Linked DNA regions of Alligator mississippiensis. The protein of the gene in region 1 interacts with the protein of each later gene in a pairwise test. Links are inferred from orthologs where the notes say so. Each region holds a gene or a part of one and is shown on either strand. Other genes may lie near its edges.

What was found.
Region 2: the proteins of AAMP (region 1) and AEN interact in binary tests that used the Homo sapiens proteins (3 or more experiments, as listed by UniProt). The link is inferred for Alligator mississippiensis from reciprocal best matches to the Homo sapiens genes AAMP and AEN.

Annotation. Positions count from the first base shown.
Region 1 is NC_081827.1:253,655,107-253,658,849, reverse strand, and holds the start of AAMP (angio-associated migratory cell protein), read left to right. Parts: upstream 1-1,028; 5' UTR 1,029-1,117; coding exon 1,118-1,220; intron 1,221-1,493; coding exon 1,494-1,661; intron 1,662-1,740; coding exon 1,741-1,860; intron 1,861-1,961; coding exon 1,962-2,101; intron 2,102-2,222; coding exon 2,223-2,367; intron 2,368-2,539; coding exon 2,540-2,623; intron 2,624-2,717; coding exon 2,718-2,833; intron 2,834-3,152; coding exon 3,153-3,256; intron 3,257-3,456; coding exon 3,457-3,547; intron 3,548-3,743. Other genes in the region: probable hydrolase PNKD, read right to left, coding at 11-179, 818-911. UniProt on the Homo sapiens protein: Plays a role in angiogenesis and cell migration. In smooth muscle cell migration, may act through the RhoA pathway.
Region 2 is NC_081834.1:14,261,307-14,265,049, forward strand, and holds the start of AEN (apoptosis-enhancing nuclease), read left to right. Parts: upstream 1-1,357; 5' UTR 1,358-1,429; intron 1,430-1,740; 5' UTR 1,741-1,741; coding exon 1,742-2,533; intron 2,534-3,074; coding exon 3,075-3,275; intron 3,276-3,493; coding exon 3,494-3,691; 3' UTR 3,692-3,743. UniProt on the Homo sapiens protein: Exonuclease with activity against single- and double-stranded DNA and RNA. Mediates p53-induced apoptosis.

The DNA.
Region 1 (3,743 bases):
GGGCACTCACCAGGCCACCCCCACGGCGCGCATGGGGTTCTTGGCCTTGCGCGTGGGGATGTACTCGATGGGTGGCGGCCCCGCGGGGTCCGGCCTGGTCTGCATCTCTGCTGAAGCCTGTGAGCGGCAGGGCTGTGGTGTGCGGACACCGGTGCGGCGCGCCGCCGCGGAGAAGAAGCCTGCACAAGGGGGGAGCAGGGTCACGGGCACACGTAATGTTGAACCCGCATTACAGCGCTGCCACACCGGAGGCAGTGGGGCAGTCGTCGGGGCGGGGATGCCACCCCACAGCTCCCTGCTGGGAGTTAAGGCCCCCGCCGCACCTTACATTTGTTACACAAATTGACTGGTGAATCGCGCAATAAATGTAGACGGGCCCCAGGCCGTCACTGCCCGGACACGTGTAACGCCCCAGAGCCGGGCGGCACATGTTACATACGTGATGCTGTGGACGGGCGACTCGTGTGATAAACGCTGAGCGGAGCTGAGGGCAGGACGCACGGGGGACACGGCTGTGCTGGACGGGACCCCCAGCCCCCTCCCTCCACCTGGTCTGACCTGGGCCTGGCCCAGGCAAAGCGGGGCAGCGCCTTGCTGCAGCGGGGGAAACTGAGGCAGGGGGTGGGCCCTGCAGAGCCCCGATCCGGCGGCGCTCGTGCGCAGGCGCAGGGCCGGCCTCTCCCGAGAAGCTATCGCAGGAGAAACGCGGACAGTCGCGGCCCGCATTAGTGCGCATGCGCAGTACCCCCCAAACCCTTAAGGCTTTCATGCGGAGTTGGGGTGGGCGCTATCCCGGGGCTCCCCGCGCCGCACTCACCCCGCAGCCCGGCCGCCGCCATGTTGCCCCTGCGCCGTCCCGACACACCCCGCGCGGCGGCCGAAGGCGGATCGGGGACTACACTCCCCAGCATGCCCCGCGGCCTCGCGTATGGCGCGGAGGACAACCTACCCTGTTGCGGGAGGGGCAGGGCCCGGGCGATGACGCGCCTGCGGATTGGCTGCAGCGGCCCTTTCCTCGCTCGCCATTGGCGGAGCCGCGCCCTCCCCTTCCCACCGCGCCCTGCTCCGGCGCTGAGGGGAACGCGGCCCAGCCCGGCGCGGCGCAGCGCAGCGCAGCATGGAGCCCGCCGGCGGCCCCGGCCCCGGCCCCGGCCCCGCAATGCTCTTCCACGGCGACGAGGAGATCATCGAGGTGGTGGAGCTGGGCCCGCCCGGCCCCGGTGAGCGCCCGCGGGGTCACGATCGACCCCTCCTCCCCCCGCCCCCCGCGGGGTCACGCCCCGCCCCCCGCGGGGTCACGACCTCCCCCCCGCGGGGTCACGCCCCGCCCCCCACGGGGTCACGCCCCTCCCCCATGCCCTCAGTTGGGGGGGTGCGTACCCTCCCCCACCTCTGCCCCTCCCCCGCCCCTCATGGGGGTCACGCCCCTCCCCCACCTTGCGGGGGGGCGCCCCCCAGTGCTGCAGGCTCTGACCGCGGACCCCCCCCCGCAGACGAGCTGGCGGCCGAGATGCAGGACGTGGACGTGGACGCGGACGCAGACGAGGGGCCGGAGGACGAGGCCTGGGACACGGAGGAGGAAGAGGAGGAGGGGGGGGGTGCGCGGCACGGCGGCCCCCCCGCCCCCGACGACAGCGAGGTCACCTTCGCCCGGCACTCGGGTGAGCCCCGTCCCCGCACGTCCCCGCGCCGCGCCGTGCCGCGCCGTGCACTGACGGACGTGCGGCCGTGTCCCCCCAGCCTCCGTGTTCTGCGTGAGCCTGGACCCGCGCACCAACACGCTGGCGGTGACGGGCGGCGAGGACGACCAGGCGTTCGTGTGGCGGCTGAGCGACGGGGAGCTGCTCTTCCAGTGCTCGGGTGAGGCGCCCGCGGCCGCGCCGCCCCGGGCGGGGGTGGACGGGGCCGCCCCCCCTCCCCCCGCGGCCCCCGCGCCAGCTGCCCCCTCTCCGCCCCCGCAGGTCACAAGGATTCGGTCACCTGCGCCGGCTTCAGCCACGACTCGGTGTTCGTGGCCACGGGGGACATGAGCGGGCTGATCAAGGTGTGGCGCGTGGACACCAAGGAGGAGGTCTGGTCCTTCGAAGTGGGGGACTTGGAGGTGAGAGTTGGGGGGCCGGGCAGCGGGGAGGGGGTGCAGGCCGAGGGCCCGGTCCCCTCGCCCCGCCCCGCCCCGCCCCGCGTGGTGCCTGGGCTCCATGCGTCCTCCTCCCTCTGCCCAGTGGATGGAGTGGCACCCCCAGGCCCACGTCCTGCTGGCGGGCACGGCCGACGGCAACTCCTGGATGTGGAAGATCCCGGGCGGAGACTGCAAGACTTTCCAGGGCCCGAGCTGCCCGGCCACCTGCGGCAAGGTTCTCCCCGACGGTGCGGGCTGCCTTGCCTTGCCCCCAGTGCGGCGCGGCCGGGGGAGGGCGTCAGGGCATCGGCGGTGCTCGTTGGGGGTGGCCCCTGCGGCGTGCGGCGGGGAGGGTGTCCCCGGGCGTGCGGGGGTGGGTCTTGGGGGTGATGAGAGCCGCGAGCCCCTCTCTCCGTCCAGGGAAGACAGCGGTGGTCGGCTACGAGGACGGCACCGTGCGCGTCTGGGACCTGAAGCAGGGCAGCTCGATCCACGTCCTCAAAGGTAGGCAGGGCTTGTCCCAACCTGGGGCTGGGGTCGGGTTTGAGGGCCGTTGGGAGTGGCGGTGCCGTGGGGGCTCACCCCAGGTCCTCCCCAGGCCAGGACGGGCACCAGGGCCCCCTGACGTGTGTGGCCAGCAGTAAGGACGGCAGCCTGGTCCTGACGGGCTCTGTGGACTGCCAGGCGAAGCTGGTGAACGCCGCCACCGGCAAGGTGAGTCTGTGTCATCTTGGGACTGAGTTGGGGGGACACCCCTGGGTGGGGGTCTCTGCTGATGTGCTGCCCCAGGAGCCTTCTGCATGCACTGCTGCCCCAGGAGTGTACTGCATGCACTGCTGGCAGCGGGGCCAACATGCTGGGGTGCACCCTTGGCCCAAGGCAGCTCATCCCCGCTTGCTGGAGCCCTCGGAGGGGGGGGTTGTGGCCGTATTCCTGGGGGTGGCATGGCCCAGGGCCCCCTTGCAACGTGGTGCCCCTGCCATGGGATCCCCGCTGGGCTACCGAGTCCCCGGCTGACAGGCGTGTGCCGCAGGTGGTGTGCGTGTTCCAGGAGGGGAGCGCCGCCCCGCAGACCCCAGCCGGGGCGGCCGAGGAGCCCGAGTCGAACTCCGTGGAGTCGCTGGGCTTCTGCAATGTGTGAGTGCGGGGGTCAGGGTCGGGGTCCTGGCCATGGGGTGGTGGGTGTTGGCAGCCAGGAGTCACGTGATCTCTGCCCTTTGCCTGGGCTACCCTTGACCGCTGCATGGAGCAGGGGCTCTGCCTGTGACTTCCCCCCTCAGCTGCAGTGGTAGTCTCTGCCCCTGCTGCCCCCGTAACAGCTTCCCCCGGCCCCCCAGGATGCCACTGGCCGCCGTGGGCTACCTGGACGGGACGCTGGCCATCTACGACCTCTCCACGCAGAGCCTGCGGCACAAGTGCCAGCACGAGGTATGGGGCGGGCTGCCTGGGGGCTGGGCCTGCTGCTTCCACGTGCCCCTGGCTGGGGGGTTCCTTGACTATCCCACAGGGGAAGGCTGCGCCTAAGCCCCCTGCCCCCGCTCTGCGCCTAAGCCCCCTGGATCCTGTCTCTGGAGGGGGTCATTTTCTGCATCTTCCTGGGGTCCCGGTGGGGGCTGGCCTTGCT
Region 2 (3,743 bases), on another chromosome or scaffold:
TAGAAACTGTTTTAACAGTAGAACCCTGTTTGTCACGAGCAGAGCTTGTTTGGTCTGTGGGGGTGGATCTACTATGATTTTACTATGCTCACGCAGCGTGCGGCTTTGCTGGATTAGCTGCAACCTTGAGAGAAGCACTTTGTTAGGGTGACAATACCAGTCCTCCTCCACCAGGGAAGAGCACTTAATGTAGCTGTAGCCATAGTTATTACCCTGGCACCCCCTTCTCTCCCTCATCCCCCATTCAGTCCCTCTTAGTTTGGTGCAATGCTCCTTGCTGTTTGGCTTAGGTTGCTTGGGAAACACCCAAAGTAAAAGCAGGGAAAGACACTTGCTTCAGAATAAAAACTCCCACCCTATAAAGCCTGCGTGTGTTGTGGGAGATTCCACTGATGTAACCGGGTGCAAGTAGAAGTCTGTTGTGCAGAGCTGTTACACCAACAGGTATAGACACTGGCCTTTATAATCACAGCTGGATTATACAAGTCTCTCTTCCCAAGTGCTAACAGAGTTGTGTTCTGGGCACGTGCAGTGCCTTACACCGTGGGGCTCTGGTCTGCCATGGAGTGTGATACCCATGCCTTTTTTTTTTTTTTTTAAGGAAAATTTTTCGCATCCCAAGTCAAATCAGCCAAATCAATTCCAAACCCAGGAGTCATTCAAGAACCGTATGTTGCCTTACTACGAGCAAGCATGCTCCACCCCCACCTGGGGCTTCAGAGGCTTCCAAATCCTTTGGCAGACATCCTAGTGCAGGCCTAAGGTGTGGATGTCCAGGGTTTGGCTTGGGATTTGGCTGCCCCTGGGTTTTGTTTGCCTTCAGCCATATGGCTAGGGAGGAGTCTCCCATTGCCATAAAGTCAGCATATAGCCAAGATCTTCCCACTGGGGGTGAAAGTGGGAGACTAAATATGCATTACCTGGGTCCCTGCCAAGAAAGTGGCTTTCCCCTGCAACACTTACTGATCATTATGGATCATCTGGCTACTCCTCAAAGCCAGACAGGCATCCTACCAGCAAGCCCCAGGGCCAGAGACAGCCCAGGGGGTAGCCCCTGTGCAGAGCAGAGCAGACCAGCCCCGTCTGCTCGCTGCCCCTCACTTCCCTCTGCCTGAGCCCTAAGATGCAGCCTCCCACGGCTGCTGCCCAGAGGTCCCCAGCAGCCCCTTCCACCCTGGGACACCCCGGCTACAAGCCTCAGGCATGGGGCTGTCCCAGCCGGGCCCAGCGCAGGGCGCGCTCCGAACACCCGCCCGGAATTCCCGGGAAAAAAAGCCCCTCCCCGCCCTTTATGCAGATCAGCCCGGCCCGGGAGCCAATGGGGCGGCTCGGGGCGGGGCGGAGCGCGGGACTTGCCCGGGCATGTGGCAGCCATTGCCACAGCTAGTTCCGGGATAGACACGTGTAGCCGGCGCGGCGCGGGTCCGAGGTGGGTTTGGGGCAGGGGGGTGGGGCAGGGCTCGGAGCAATGATCTCGTTCCCCGTGTGGGTGTTTTAATGAGCTAAGGGCAGATCCGGCTCCCAGGGCTGGGCTGGGCTGGGGGGTGCCCGTGGCAGTGCCACCTGTTTCCCCCCCACTTGCTGTGGGAGTCCCCCAGGCCATGTGACTGCTGTGGGTTAGGCTGGCCCCATGCCCATAGCACAGCAGCTCCGGGGTTCCCCTGGGGGATGGGACAGGGGTGAGGTGTCTCCTGGTTGCCCATGCACTGACTAACCTGTTGCCCTGGCTGGCTTTGGCAGGATGCCTGCTGGCAAGGGGCAAGCACCAGGTGTCCTGAGGCCAGTGAAGGCCTGCAGGCTGGGGCAGAAGGAGTCCGAGGGCCGGTTCCTGGAGTACTACTATGCCAAGCGGGACCTGTGCTGTGCCCAGTCCAAAGCCCAGCCGTGCCTCCCAGCGGAGGCTGACAGTCAGGCCTTGCAGATTCAGGCTAAGAAGAAGAGCCGGAAGCACCAGCGGTTTATGAAGCGCAGGGCTCTGCTGGAGCAGAGGGGGCTCCTGGGACCCAAGCTGGGACAAAAGGTCCAGCCAGTTATACTCCAGCTGCCAGAAGCAGATATGGCACAGGAGCCACTCACCAAGAAAACGGGCAGCTGTGGGCAGCCAGCATCCATGGTGCGTGAGCAGCCTGCAGGAGAAACCCATGCCAAGCTCACCAAGCCGAAGCAGGTGCGGTCACAGGCTGAGTCAGACAGTCCTGAGGGCCCAGCGGGGCAGCGCCTCCTCTCACCACCCCAGGATTTGGCATGTAGATTATCTTTGCCTGCAAGCTCCAAGTCAGGCAGAGTTTCCTTGTCCTGGTCACTCCAGAGACCTTGGAAATATGTAGCCATTGACTGCGAGATGGTGGGCACGGGTCCTGGTGGGAAGCTGAGTGAGCTGGCACGATGCACAGTAGTCAGCTACAACGGAGATGTTGTCTATGACAAATATATCCGGCCGGAGCTCCCCATTGTGGACTACAGGACTCCGTGGAGTGGGATCACCAAGCGGCACATGCAGAACGCTACCCCATTCAAAGCTGCGCAGAGAGAGGTAAGCATGGGGGTAGGGTGGGGAGGTCTCGCTTTGTTTCCTCTTAGGGCAGGTGGGATGAAACTGCTCTTCCTTCAGCAGGACCCTGGGATGTTGCTGTTCTGACAACGGCAGGCAGGGAGGCTTTGTCACCTGTCCTCCTTCCAGGCTCACTGGGGAGCTCTTCAAAACCCCAGCACAGTAGAGGCATGATTGGTGTGGGACCTGTCAACTCCTGACCACCCAGTCCTGGCTCTGAGTCTGGCTTGCTGCATGTCAGCCTAAAGCAGGATGCTCTGCATGTCTAGGCTGCTTCTCCTCATGCACCATTATCTCTGCCTTCCACTTCTCTCTTACTATTTTTTAACCTGCCCTGGAGGGTGCAGCAAGACAGCTTCTCTGAAACATTTGTCCCTGCTTCACTGTAGCATGTGTCTGGATAGTCATTGGAGGGCTTTTGGGATTGATTTCCTTAGGAAGCCTGACTAGATAAACCAGTCAGTGCAGCAGAGGGTTCTACTTTGGCTTTGCTGCCCAACTCACCTCCCTCTGACACTTCCAGGTCCTGCAGATCCTGAAAGACAAGATCGTGGTGGGCCATGCCATACATAATGACTTCCAAGCCCTCAAATATTTTCACCCCAAAGAGCAGACTCGAGATACCAGTCGGATCCCTTTGCTGAACCAGAAGGCAGGATTCCCCTTGAAAGCCAGCGTCTCTCTCAAGAGTCTGGCAAGGCAGCTGCTGCATACAAGAATTCAGGTGAGTGGTTCTGTACCTCCCAGGGGTGTTGTAAGGGCAGTACTTGGCTGATGTGGGCCAAATACGCATAGAAGCTAGAGGTGTAGATGTGGGTGGAGGCCTGGTTGTATTTGAATCTGGTCCAACAAAACCGGCTGGATAAGTAGTGTATGAGAGCTTAGCGTGCAGGATCTTTGCTGACTGTCCACTCTAACGTGGCTCTCTTCCTTTGCTGTCAGGTTGGCCGGAGAGGGCACTCGTCGGTGGAAGATGCTCAGACATCCATGGAGCTCTACAGACTGGTGGAGGAAGAGTGGGAGCAGAAACTTGCCAGCAGCCTTCCTCACAGTTTCCCTAGCAGCCCTACAGACAGTAATACAGACAGCAACCACTACCTGGATGACCAGTACTGGCCCACGGACCTGAACATTGATTGAATTTGATGTTAGAGACCAGGCATTTCTCCTTAAGGTGCTTTGAGATGTTCTC